Linked DNA regions of Astyanax mexicanus. The protein of the gene in region 1 interacts with the protein of each later gene in a pairwise test. Links are inferred from orthologs where the notes say so. Each region holds a gene or a part of one and is shown on either strand. Other genes may lie near its edges.

Evidence for each region.
Region 2: the proteins of khdrbs2 (region 1) and ptk6a interact in binary tests that used the Homo sapiens proteins (3 or more experiments, as listed by UniProt). The two-hybrid records come from large-scale screens. The link is inferred for Astyanax mexicanus from reciprocal best matches to the Homo sapiens genes KHDRBS2 and PTK6.

The regions. Positions count from the first base shown.
Region 1 is NC_064414.1:43,133,908-43,141,774, reverse strand, and holds the start of khdrbs2 (KH domain-containing, RNA-binding, signal transduction-associated protein 2), read right to left. Parts: upstream 4,760-7,867; 5' UTR 4,514-4,759; coding exon 4,423-4,513; intron 1-4,422. UniProt on the Homo sapiens protein: RNA-binding protein that plays a role in the regulation of alternative splicing and influences mRNA splice site selection and exon inclusion. Binds both poly(A) and poly(U) homopolymers. Phosphorylation by PTK6 inhibits its RNA-binding ability.
Region 2 is NC_064419.1:39,950,914-39,956,755, reverse strand, and holds the start of ptk6a (protein-tyrosine kinase 6), read left to right. Parts: upstream 1-897; 5' UTR 898-914; coding exon 915-1,357; intron 1,358-2,436; coding exon 2,437-2,558; intron 2,559-3,718; coding exon 3,719-3,882; intron 3,883-4,452; coding exon 4,453-4,621; intron 4,622-5,842. UniProt on the Homo sapiens protein: Non-receptor tyrosine-protein kinase implicated in the regulation of a variety of signaling pathways that control the differentiation and maintenance of normal epithelia, as well as tumor growth.

The sequences.
Region 1 (7,867 bases):
TCTGGAACACGTGATGACTACCTGCCCCAAATTCCGGCCATCAAATGGCACTCAAGGTCTAATAGACCTGGACAATGAAACACTGGACTGGCTTGCAGCAACATAACTGAGGGTCTAAGGACGTACGCCAGAGAGAGAGAGAGGGACAATGTTTCATTAATAATATCCCTATTTTGGAGCAAAAAAAAAAAAAAAAAAAATAAGAAAAGTATGAATACCCAACTAAACAATTCTTTAGAAAATCAGATCTAATATAAATACAAACAGTGTACAAACATGTTTATTAGCCCTTCATTAAATAATTGTATCTCTAATCAATCAATCTACAAAATATTGGCTTGCAAATTATTTCAGATTGCTTGAATTTGCATAATTTGTTGGACATCGCTGCTATCCAAAGCTACTGCACTGGTCAAAAACACCCCATTCTTATGACATGAACACATTTTGCATTATTTAGGAAAATCAGCCTAATGGTGGGCTCTTAAAAACAGGAGTAAAAACTGAACAATATTTCATGAACCAACTCACTGAATCAGTAAAACAAGGGCAATTTAGCAGCCTGCTCAAAGCGTTAGCCTCTCTTAACTTCAGCTGCATCACACTAGTAAACTCATTCATCATCCCTGTCTGAAACGGAGGAGCAGAAACCTCCAGCTGTCGTGTCACTGAGGTTGTACGTCGTCCCGGGGATGAGACGGGCTCTCTGAGATTTCCCTTTTAGCCTGATGAAGCAATCCAAGCATACACTAACACACAGAGGATACCGAACCCACAGGCTCAGACTCTACTTATGGAGCTGGTCTGAGAGCAGTCTACATCTGATCACGCTTCAGTGACTTAATGATAATGTCACATTCCCTCCAATTTCAGCTCTATCAAAAAGCGATGTTTCTACAATAAGAGATGATCAAATGTTAGCATAAGATTTTTGAGAAGAGAATTGACTAGGGGTGGGAATCAAAGGGCATATCCCAATAAGATATCACGATACTGTGATTTAGCAATACTTCATATAAGGCAAGACAATTCTCTACAATACTTCAATTCAGTTTTATTTATATACCGCTTTTTACAACAAATGTTGCCACAAATCAGCTTTACAGAGAAACAGGTCCACGCCTCTTATTAGTAAGCACCATAGTGATAGTGCCACCAGTGACGAAAGTGGGGTGGCAACAGTGGCGAGGAAAAACTCCCTTACACTAAGAAGAACCTTAGGAGAAACCAAGACTCAGTAAGAGGAATCCATCCTCCTCAGGTTGACCAAGATAGCACAAACAAATAACAGAACAAAAACAACTGTGATAATGGAGAGCTATAGCTAATGTAGAAACATGTTATGAATTATAGATGTGAGTAAGTGCTTGGCACATGCTCAGTGTTAATATTAAAGTCCAGGCAGTTTAACCATCCATATGTACAGCTTTGGAGTGTGGCAGGAATGGATCAATGCAGTTAGTTATTAATACTGCACGGCATCTGTGTTACTAAAAAGGGCAAAATACTAAATAATATTTTAAGTGATCTAGTTTTTCAAGAGATGTTTATATCACATGTTAATTACTCATATTACTCATACTAGCAAAGTTATAATGATTTACATTGACCTTACACTGAAAGTAAAGGTACTACAAAGTACTACTTTCTTGGAGGATTGCCATAAAAAAATATTTGGTGCCATAAAGAAGCATTTTAACAGATTTTAAAAAATGAGGTTGTAAAGGTTCTTTAAAGACTGGGCTGTTTATGAAAAAAAATTGAAAACAAGCATATTTTACAGTAACATAATTATACAGCTAAATTTTTTTCTATATGTATTTCTAATTTTATCTGATTTCTCCCCAATTTGGAAGACCAATTACCCACCCACTCATTAAGGCTCCCCCTGTTAGTAGTAATAGAATACCATCAACAATGGTAGCACGAAGAAGGCTAGGAAATGCCTCCTCCAACACATGTGAACCCAGACACACCTCTTTTGTATTTGCATTAATAGGTCTGTTTGGAGTGATGAGGGGAGAGAGCGCCATCTACTTACCCAGAGAGAGCAAGGCCCATTGGGCTCTGTTAGACTCCGGATGCTGATGGCAAAAACCCAGTAAATCAAACCGAACAATGGACATTACTAAAGTGAGCAAAACTTATGAGTTCATATCTTCAGACATAAAAAAGTGGAATTTCTCAAAGAACTACATAAAGCACCTTTATTTTAAGAGTGTATATTGCATATAAATCTTCCATACGCTGTCATTTTTTCCTGCACTAATGAGTTTCTCATATTTACACTAATACTTTCCGAACACAAAGATAGCCAGTAGGATCATTTTACTGTTGGTTTGGTCGAGTTGAATTTGATATTCCCTCTATTGTCCAAACAAATGGAGTTTTTAAGTCAGAAAGCCCCACACCCTCTTAAAACGTCTTCTGAGGTGTCATTAAAATGCGAGCATTTCTTTATCCATCATTTACTTTGTTTTCTTATTTAGTTAAAAACACACACAGACACCAGTAAGTTTGAGACCTTTGCATCTGTGTCTGTATAGACCTAATCTACTTCAGAGCTCCAAGCCCAACATACCTGAGGAGGAGCTTGTTGACCCCCTAACAGCATGAAAGGGTAAAGCTGCTGCACTCAGGCACGCTACATCTCCCTCCATACCCCCATCCCTCATTCCATCCCTCTATCCCTCCATCCCTCAATCCATCCCTCACCCCAGGCTCTGAAACACAGAAGCATTAAAACACACACACACACACAAGCATAATCCAACACACAGGAGCTACTGAAGCCACAGGATCAGACTCTGCTTATGGAACTGGTCTGAGAGCAGTCTACATCTGATCACACTTCAGTGAGTGATAATGTTACATGGTAATGACAGTGTTACTTTTAATTTGAGCCTAAAACTAAAGATGAAGGTGATACAAAGGGTTATTTGAGCGATGGTATAGAACAAAACTATTTTTGGTTTCATTAAGAGCTGTTTTTATAAGAGATGTGTATAAAGAACCATGAAAGACAAAAAATGGTTCTTTACTTGCATCTCCCTAAGAACCATCTTGGGTAGGGCTGCATAATTAAAAAAAACAGTCATTGCAGTTTCTCTAAGATATATATACTGAGATTTACAAAAAATACACATATTTATCTGTCCAATATAATTTCATTAATTTAATTTAATTTACCCCTCACTTTCAGTATTTCAGTGATTTTGGAAAGGGGAAAGTTAAATATAATGTTTTACACTAACTTTCCTGTTTTTGAATTTAGCCACAAACTGTCAGAAAAATGAACTTAAAAAGGTTATTACTGACCATATCGGATTCCTGACTTTTCTGTTTGTAAAACATTAACAAAAAACAATGTTTTCCTTTAATCATATCAATAACACATATAGAAACATCTACTGCAATGTCATTTTATTTCTTCCAATATCACGCAACTCAACCTCTTAACCTCAAACCCTCACAAAACATATCTTTCTTTGATTTTATCAAATTGAAAACCTCTGAAATATAATCAAGAGGATGGATGATCACAGCCATCAAACCAAGCCCCTGCGTGATTTTTTGCACCAGGAGTGGCATAAAGTTATCCAAAAGCAGCGTGTAAGGCTGGTGGAGGAGAACATGTCAAGATGCATGAAAACAGTGATTTTGTTATTTTTCAGCAAATGAATAAATGCTCCAAATGACAATATTTTATTTCGAATTTGGGACAAACAATGTTCATAGTCTATAGAGTAAAAGAACAATGTTGATTTTACACAAACATATACCTATAAATAGCAAAATCAGATAAACTGATTCAGAAACTAAAGTGGTCTCTTAAATTTTTCCAGAGCTGTAAGTTATATACATATGCATATGTTTTACTTCCTTTTAGGTAGTCATGTAGTTAGTTAGTTATCACTTTTTTTTTTTTGCATGAACACACCTGAACACCTGAAGTTTAGCCAAGTAATGATGAAACCACACACACACACACACACACACACACAGAGCAGTTAACGAGTCAGAGCCCTGTCTGCTTCTGTTCAGACCTGTGAGTCCCCTAATCTACTTCAGAGCTCCAAACCCAACACACCTGAGGAGGAGCTTGTTGACCCCCTAACAGCATGGCGGGGAAAAGCTGCTGCACTCAGGCACGCCTCTACATCTCCCTCCATCCCTCTATTCCTCTCTCATTCCATCCCTCCATCCATTTCTCTATCCTTCCCTCCATTCCTCACCCAGGGCTCCCAACCGCAGGACCATGAACAAACAAACAAACAAACGTTTATAAACACCACCAGCATTTCATACACAAATAATACACACATATGGTGATTATAGAGACTTACCCGGGGACACTGTACACAAATACCGGACAGAAAAGGGATAAATAACCGGATAAAGAGGGTAAAATAATCCTGTTACCTTCAGCCAGAAGGCGCATAGCGTGAACAAAGGTCGTGTCCAGCGTTTCCTTCTCGGCCATCAGCTCCGGCAAGTACTTGTCCTGATCCATAACCGGCCACCGCTCCTCTCCTGACCGCGGCGAGAGCAGGTGAGACACAGGGGAAGAAAGTGCGGAGAGGCGGACGGGACTGTGGTCTGACTTCGCCTGAACCCTGAGGAGAACTGACGGAGCGGATATCGGTACAACACCGGCTGCTTTCCTCCGTTAGCTAACGGCTGTTTTAATAACGGCAGCGTTATTCAAACCAAAAAATAAACACTCATATCCTCCTCGCGCTCGGTTTAAACGCAGGGCTCTCGTGCGAAAGCTCCCCGCCTATAGCCACGGAATAAGCGCGCTGGCCCCGCCCCCCTCACTGCTGATTGGCTGGGTCGGAGAAGCGAATTCTGGAAAGCGTCAAACAGCATCAACGCTAACGGTATGTAACGATATAATAAGGTATACTGCGGTTAATCACGGTATTCTGTGGATAAATACTAATACTACCGTAATGTAAGATTTGTTGTCTTAAAGGGGACATATTATATCTCTTTTTTACACAAGTTAGACTGTGATGTCATGGGGCTCAGAGTGGTTCAGCGGACTAAAGCCCAATTTATACTTCTGCGTCGAACCTATGCTGTAGCCTGCGCATATCCAGGGGACACATTTATACTTCTGTGTGTGCGTATCAACAGCTCTGCATCGCTCTGCAGTTTAAACCGCGAAGGTGGGAATATGTGCGTGTAAAGCTACGGCGTAGGGTACGCAGCGATGCGTAGGCTAAGGCGTAGGATTGATGCAGAAGTATAATTTGGGCTTTAGGCGCTGCCACAGCGTTCAGGAGATCGCTGGTTAGAATCCCGTTTATGTAGCTCGCCATCAGCTGCCAGAGCCCCGAGAAATCACAATTGGTCTTGCTCTCTCTGTGTGGGTAGATGGCGCTCTCTCCCCACATCACTCCAAAGGGTGATGTCGCTTAGCACAAGGCGTCTGTGAGTTGATGTATTAGAACCAAGCTTGCTGTGATGCTACTCAACAATGCTGCATCAGCAGCAGTTTAAAAACAGGTGGAGCCTGACTTCACATGTATCGGTGGAGGCATGTGCTAGTCTTCATTACCAGTGAAATGGGGGAGTCCTAATGAGTGGGTTGGGTAATTGGCCTTGTACATTGGGAAGAAAATTGGATTTTAAAAAAGTATCAGTGATGTCTGTATCTCTTAAACCATTTTTTTTTCAGTAACAAGTAATCCAACACGTAACTATTTCCAATTAAAGTTACTCATTCACGTCACTGTGTATTATTTTTGGTCATTTTCCTTAGTAAAAAGATATTGTATTGATGAGAAAGATGTTTACACTGGTCGATTTATTGCTGGAACTTACGTTTGCTGTTGATGCTATAACTCATCTAGGGATGTGTGTGGATAAGTGCTTGTGTGTGTTTGAGTGCTAAGTGTAAAATGATTGCATGTGGAACATGATTGTAAAGCGTCCTTGGGTGTCTAGAAAGGCGATATATAAGCGTAACTTTATTCATTCATTTAAGATGGTTAAGACGGATACAGACAGGATAGACAAACAGCATGACCACTCTGGTCGATCAGCAATGTCCAAAATAACCAAAATCAAATGCAACACTAGTAAGTTGGTCAAGCGTAGTGCAAGGTATGCTTTCACTTGAATGACCAGCTTTTCAAACATCTTAAGAAATTGAAGCCTAGCTCAGACAATCCAAATCCAGCTGCCAGCAAAAACTGATCTTGACCAGCATAGGGTGTGAGTTTATTTGTTTAGCTGGTCTACAAACAAAATTAACTATACAAGCTGATCAATCAGCATGATCAACAAGACCCAGCTGGATGACTACACTGGCCTAAATCAAAAGCAACATACACTATGCTACTCAATAGCCAATTAACCAGATAGTTGGTAACACTTTATAATACCGGTACAGGGTATGTTTTCAACTGGATGAGCATCTTGACCATCAAAGAGCAGCTTAGACTATGCAGAACCAATTGTTAGAAAAAAATGGCCTTGACCAGCATAGGGTTGTAGTTTGATGTTTTAGCTGATGTTCAAGCATAATCAGTGATCAAGCAAGGCAACCAGTATGACCAAACTTGAGTGTGCTGGTTGACCAGCTAGATCAAGCTGGTTGATTAACATGGCCATGCTGGTTGACTAATATGGCTGCGCTGGTTGACCAGCATGACCATTATGACCAATTTTGTCAACCAGCATCACACACAAGCAAAATCAATGCAGCATGCCAAATTCACCATGCTGGTCAAAAGCTGGTGAACCAGCTAGACTAACAGCATGTTTTTGTCTAGCTGGATGAACAGCTTCCAACCACCTTAGCCATCAAATACAAAAAAATTGCTTTAGACCTTCCAAAACTAGCTAACAGCAAAAGCTGATATTGAACTGGATTTTTCAGAAGTGCTTCAGGCACTAAACATTAAAAAAATTCTTTTAAAATAAGGAGATGGTTAAAACCTGTAGTTGAATACTAAATCATTGGTTTACCTTTACAGATTTTGAAGAGTGGTCACTCACGGCCTCCAATGTCAATGTCAAGTCCTTAGATCCCTAACAGAAATTCTCCTTACTGGACCATCATGTTGGACTTGTGCTGAATTGCCTTGGGCTGAGCATAAAGAAATAATCATACATGTACCTACATACATAACCTAGATACATAAATACAAGATGAATTATGGCATTGTGCTTCATTTCTGGAGCTGTTTATTCTTGTTTGTGGTACCAAAAATGTGCGAGTTGTAAAGTGGTTTAAGACTAATGGCGCTTGTGTGGGAAAGGTAAGCTAACAAATGAAGCAAGGTGAAATCTGTCTTAAGGAAGACACTTGTTCCATATTTATGGCAGGGCACAAAGTCAGCTCAATTTGTCGTGTCCGTGAATACTAATCAATGGCGTTTCTGTATGCCTCGGTTTGCCAAGATGGATTAGGCATTTGTGACAGGCAGTCTATAGAGGGAAAACATGCACAAACAAACACAAGCACACACATTCACACACATACACTTAAACACATGCACCAAAAGAGAGAGAGAGAGGGGCAGGGAAGTGGGGAAAGACAGAAGGAGGAGGAGGAGGAAGAAGAAGAAGGCCTGCTTGCCTAATTAATGACTGAATGGATTACTGTGCTGTTGGCAAACATCTGTACACCCAGTGTCACATTCAGCGACTGCCTTGTGAGAATGTTCATAGAGCCTCGGTCCACTGGAACGCGGTGATTAGACGCCATGTACCAAAAATTGGTCTTTCACTCATGCGGGGACACTGCACGCACCAGTAACCATCAGTATTTATCAGATGTTTTCAAAGTAACAGTGGTTTATAAAATGATATCCAATTGATCTACCGCAGTCCAGTGCAGAATTGCCCCTGC
Region 2 (5,842 bases), on another chromosome or scaffold:
CACCTATAATAACCACAACTCCTCCTATATATATATATATATATATATATATATATATATATATATATAATATATATATGTAATTAAATGCACTGGGCGCTGGCTGCTACACCAGGAGGCAGGCTATGCAGAGTCTATGTATATACATGTCTGTCATTATCAGTACAGTGATAGTGGCACACAAAGCTGAAAGTTAGCATTATGGGATGTAAACAGTGGTTTTTAATAAGCTTCTTTTGAACTTTTTAAGTTATTAATGCCTCTTTTTAAATGTCAGGGCTCTCTGGATTCTACCTAAAAGTTGAGGAGCTACTTTGAGCCTGGATAAAGATGTAAAAAGCAATTTATCAAGGCAAAATATACCCTGATACGGTCGTTGTAAAGAGTGCTGGGCTATTCAACAAAGGTAAGGTCTTTTTATCATGTTTTTACTAGACCAAAAGTCCATTTTACACCTGAGTTCTCTTTTTTACGGTCTGGACTCTGTGGTGAACAATCCATGTGTGAAGATGATGATCTCATTCTACCTGAACCACTCTTTCACAATTCTGCCTGTTTAGATTGACAGCCTTTCTTTTAAGTTTGTTAAAAGTATATATATATATATATATATATATATATATATATCAATGTTTTGTAGATGTTTTTTATAAATGTAGGCATTTCAATGATTTACCTACATAATTCATTTTCTTGAAAGTTATGAAAACCTCAAACCACAACAATTCTGGTAATGATCCAATAGCAACTGTTTTATGGAAAGTTTTTTTTTTTCTTTTTTAAGCTCCTCCCATAAATACACCTGCCCAACCTGAGACATCCGCCCCAACACTCACACACACCTTACTCACTCACTCACACACACTCTGAGGAGATGTAGACACACACTTCTCAGTCTCTTCACCTCCACCCAGATGAAGGGTCCTGAGGGGGAGGCTCGCTGCCCCTGCCCGAGTCTCCAGAGCCTCCAGACTCTGCTCTCCAGCCTCTTCACACAGGCAGAGAAGAAGAAGGAGGAGGAGGAGGAGGAGGGAGAGGCAGCAGAGCAGAGAGATGGAGACTCCAACTTCGAGAACCCAGAGATCGGCACCTACAACTACACCCAGCCGCCGACACAGCCGCCCACAGCCCAGCCAGCGGACCCGCCAGCTGCCCGGGCTCTGTATAAGGCGCTGTGGAGTTTCCAGGGCCGCGCCGTGGACGAGCTCTCCTTCCAGACTGGAGACTCGTTTAGGATGCTGCAGCAGGAGGGAGAGTGGTGTCGGGTGGAGAAGATCAGCCCGCAGGGACTCATACAGGCTGAGGGCTTCGTGCCCTCCAACTACCTGGCAAAAGAGCAGACCCTGGAGGAACAACCGTGAGTGTTTTCACATACAGTCCCTCCTAAAGTACAGGAACTGCAAAAAAAAAAATCCTTTATTTTTGTTGTGCACTGAACACACTTAGAAAAAAAGTACAGATTTGTACTTAAAAGAGTACAAAACTGGGGCTGTACCTTTATTGAATTATATTTAAGTATTTTTTGTACCCATGTTTTTTGTAAGAGAGATTATAAACATCATCAATATGTATTGTTTTTAGTATAGAGATACTGAACACAGGATGTACATTTTGGCTGGTAAAATGGTACAAATCTGTACTTCCTGCTGTTAAACACTAAGAAAAGTAAGTACAGATTTGTACTTAAAGAGTATATAGCTTGTCTCTTGGGCTGTACCTTATATTGAGGTATAATAGAGTAGTTTTCAGTAAAATTATTTTTTTTATACCCATGTTTTTTTGTACCAGTAAAGATTATAAACATCATCATCACCTGAATATGTGTCAAGAACTTGATGATCCAAAATTGTCTGGATTTCAAATGAAACATGTATAATCACAATATATGTTGTTTATTAGTACAGTGATACGGAATGCAGAATGTACATTTTGACTGGTTAAATGGTACAAATCTGTATTACCTGCTGTAAGGAAATACTTTGTACTTCTGAAGGAACACATCAGACACTGTAAAGATTGGAATATTATTATACAGAATATTATACCTTTGAGGGTACAATTACGAAAAGTGTACATTAAGTACAGAAAAGTACTTGTATCGTACCTCTGTTTAGATGGGTTTTGTTGGGTTGTGATGTCATTCCTATATCTAATGTTTGAGGTAAATGAAGCACAGCATGAGGCTCTTCTGACTTGTGAGAAATGTGGCTTGTAGGGGCATTCCAGTTAAAATGTCCTATTTGGAACTCAGAAATCCTAACATCCAGGTTCAGATGGGACACAGAATAATACTTACAATATCTAAGATCTGTTCAGGTCCCTAGTGTGATCCAGAAGGATTTAACATCTGCACTCCCTTTTAACTACGGTAATTCACTAGTCAAAGAAAATTAAATTACCTGGTGAGGAAGAATGTCATCTCCTGTTTTTTTTCAGATGGTATTTTGGGTCACTGAATCGCCTGGAGACCCAGAAACTGCTTTTGGCCGCAGGTAACAAGGTCGGTGCATTTCTGCTGCGACGCAGTGAAAGGGATGAGGTGGGCTGTGTGCTGTCAGGTAAGTGAATTGTTCAGAAGTACAGTGCAGTACATTGTGACTTGTCTATGTGAAGTGAAAGAAGGTCATTGTATATTTCTCATTTAGAGGTGTTATAAAATTACAATCCCCCCTTTTCCAGTTCCCAGTCTAAAATTGTGTAAATACAATCTCTATCTTGTTCCCATGACAGGTAGGGATCCACTAAAATTAAAATTTTCTGAAACAGAATTTTTCTTTTTTTCAGAATTTATTTTTCCACTTTTTTCACCATTGCGTAGTTAAATAGGGTGTAAAAAATATGTGTAAGGTGTAAAAATAAAAATATTATATTGACTAATAAAAAAAAAGGACAGTTTGATCACTAATCACTAGTGTTTGAACACTAATAAATGTTGACTCCTTTTCTCCTTTCTCTTTCCAAACCACCATATTGCGGATGGCATAGTTTAAACTAGCAAACTGGTATAATACAAAATAGACTCCCTCTGCACTAGGGCTGTATACAATATGTAGAACAGTACAGGGCTTAAAATTCAATATATTGTGATTAATTGTGACACTGTAGGTGATGTATCGTGATTATTTTAATATAAAAAAAAATAACTGTGAGTTCCACACTGCTATCTAGTGGGCAGGGTTTAATTACAACACTAAATGAACGACTGTCTGACACCAATGTTTACATGTAAATAATTGTAAAAAATATATAGATACTGGGGATACACCGATGTGGGAATTCTAAGCCTTTATATATCTGTTGACGTTGATGCCGATATGCATATTTATAACAGAGAAGAAGCTAGATACCCTGGTAACTTTGAAACTAATAAAAATAAACAAAAATGAGCTTAAATCAATATATTTTAAAGTAACATGGCCAGTTGTAGTAGCACAGAAAGCATTGTTTGGTCCTTTTCCAGCATACAATAAATACATCAGCAAATATCAGTTTGAAATGTTGGCCATATCATCCGATTCCAATGGTTAAAAAAAAAGAAAAAGGGAATTATCGATCCATACTGATGTAATTCCCATATTATTATGCATCTCTAATCGATACTGTGTTTTTTTTAATGCAAATTCAGGATAATAGGATCTCTCATGTATAATAATCTAATCTAATATCCCACTTTCTCTCTCTCTCTCTCTCTCTCTCTCTCTCTCTCTCTGTCTGTTAGTTCGACTAAGCGATAAGGAGGTGAAGCACTTTAAAGTTTATGAGGATGAGGAGGGTTTCTATGTGGACCCTGATTCCACTTTCCCCGGACTGGAGCAGTTAGTGGAGCATTATAAAAGCCATCCTCTGAGCTCCGGCACCCTCCTCGGAGAGCCCTGCACACGGGTGAGTGTGTACTGTATGTGAGCTACGTGAGTTATGACCTCACTCATTGGCTCATGTGTTATGTGTGAGGTAACTGGAGTGAAAATGATTTAATAGGAGGGAGAAATCTGCTCGGACTGCTGCTGCTGAGCCCTGATGGAATTGTTTCCGGAAATACTTGTTGCTGTTGTTCTGAATGCCACTCGCCCCCCGCTCATATTATTTACAGGAGCTTATTTACAGCTGTGATATGGTCAGGGGTGTGGATTTAAAATATCCGTACTAATTGATTATTACTGTGGATACATCCGATCACCCATAACATTATAACTACTGATGTTAATTGAATAATATTGTGTTGGGATATACATATATTGTAAAACATGTGAGCTATCAGTTCTTGAAGTTGTGTGATGTAAAGCAGGAAATATGGGCATGCGTAAGAATCACCAGTGAGTAAGAATGACCATAAACAGCTCTATATAATTTCATGGTAGCACAACAGATAAGAGTAGTCTACAGCATCAGGCCTACACTTATGCCTAATAATGCTTAACACACATTTCCCCTGTTGTTTTTCTCCTCTTATAGCCAGAGCCGAAGCCACAGGACCTGTCCCACAATACTGTGGACGACTGGGAGCTGCCCAAGGAGGAGTTCGCCCTGGAGGAACAGCTGGGGTCTGGATTCTTCGCTGATGTTTACCGCGGCACCTGGAAAGGCATGGTCAAGGTGGCTGTTAAGATCCTCAAAAATAATGGTAAACAGTTTTTATTTTGATGTTGATGCTTTACTGCGCTGTCAAGAGAATCGAGAATAATGCGTAAATGTTACTGGCATTTTCCGCTCACATTTTTGTGATGGCGGACACGACTGAAGAATGTGAGAAATGCTGTTTTTCTGGTTGTAATCACTGAAAGAACTAAAAGAATGAGAAGACAGATAAGACAGATCGTTTTGGAAGTTTCTTCCTCATAGCTCAGGGTTCTTTGTTCATTTTTGTGGTTTAACATGTAATTGAAAACAAAGAGGAAACACAGACATGAAGGCTGTAAATCTTAATCAGGGTAGATTTGATTTAATAGGAAAAATATTCCAGGGGCCCCACTTTGGTTTCTGTCCCTAATTTGCCCCTGGAAATGAGTGTGTGAATGAATGAATGAATGAATGGGGGGGCTGGTGCTCTGTCCAGGGATTAATCTTGGTTATCTCACTGTCGATTAATCGTTAATTTGTAACAGTATTGCATTACACAAAGTAATGGAGACAGAAGTGCAATGGGAGCGAGGTAAATGTCTTACTCAAACAGGTCACACTCTCCAACAGTGTCTCCAACAGTGTCTCCAAAAGTGCCCAAACACAACACATTACATATTTACCCACTAAATGTCCGTACTTTCCACGTATAAACAGCATCTAGGCATTTAAATGCATCTTAATGTATCATGATCAGCTGTTTCTATAATTTTTAGAGATGAAGGACATGGCAGAAATAATCATTGACTAATCGACCAATTGAAAAAGTCTAACTATATAAATACAATGTGCTCCTATATGGTCAGTGGAACTGATAAAATTAACAATGAAATGGAGAACTCTGGTGTAAAATTGACTTTTGATATAGTAAAACATGATAAAAAGTACTTACCTTTGTTGAATAGCCTACCTCTGCTCTCCTACAGCTTTCTGAGATCCAGTAATTTTGTGCTTTTTGCCCAGCACTCTTTACAACAGCCGTATCAGGGCATATTTTGCCCCGATAAATCGTTTTTTACACTGTTATCCAGGCTCAAAGTAGCTCCACACCTCCTTGGTAGAATCTGGAGAGCGCTGACATTACATCCCATAGTGCTTCTTTGTAGCTCCGGGTGCCGCCATCACTGTACTGATAATGACAGACATATATACATAGCTTCCACATAGCCTGCCTCCCAGTGCCCAGTGCATCTATTTACACTGAGGAAGGTGTTTAATACACCTA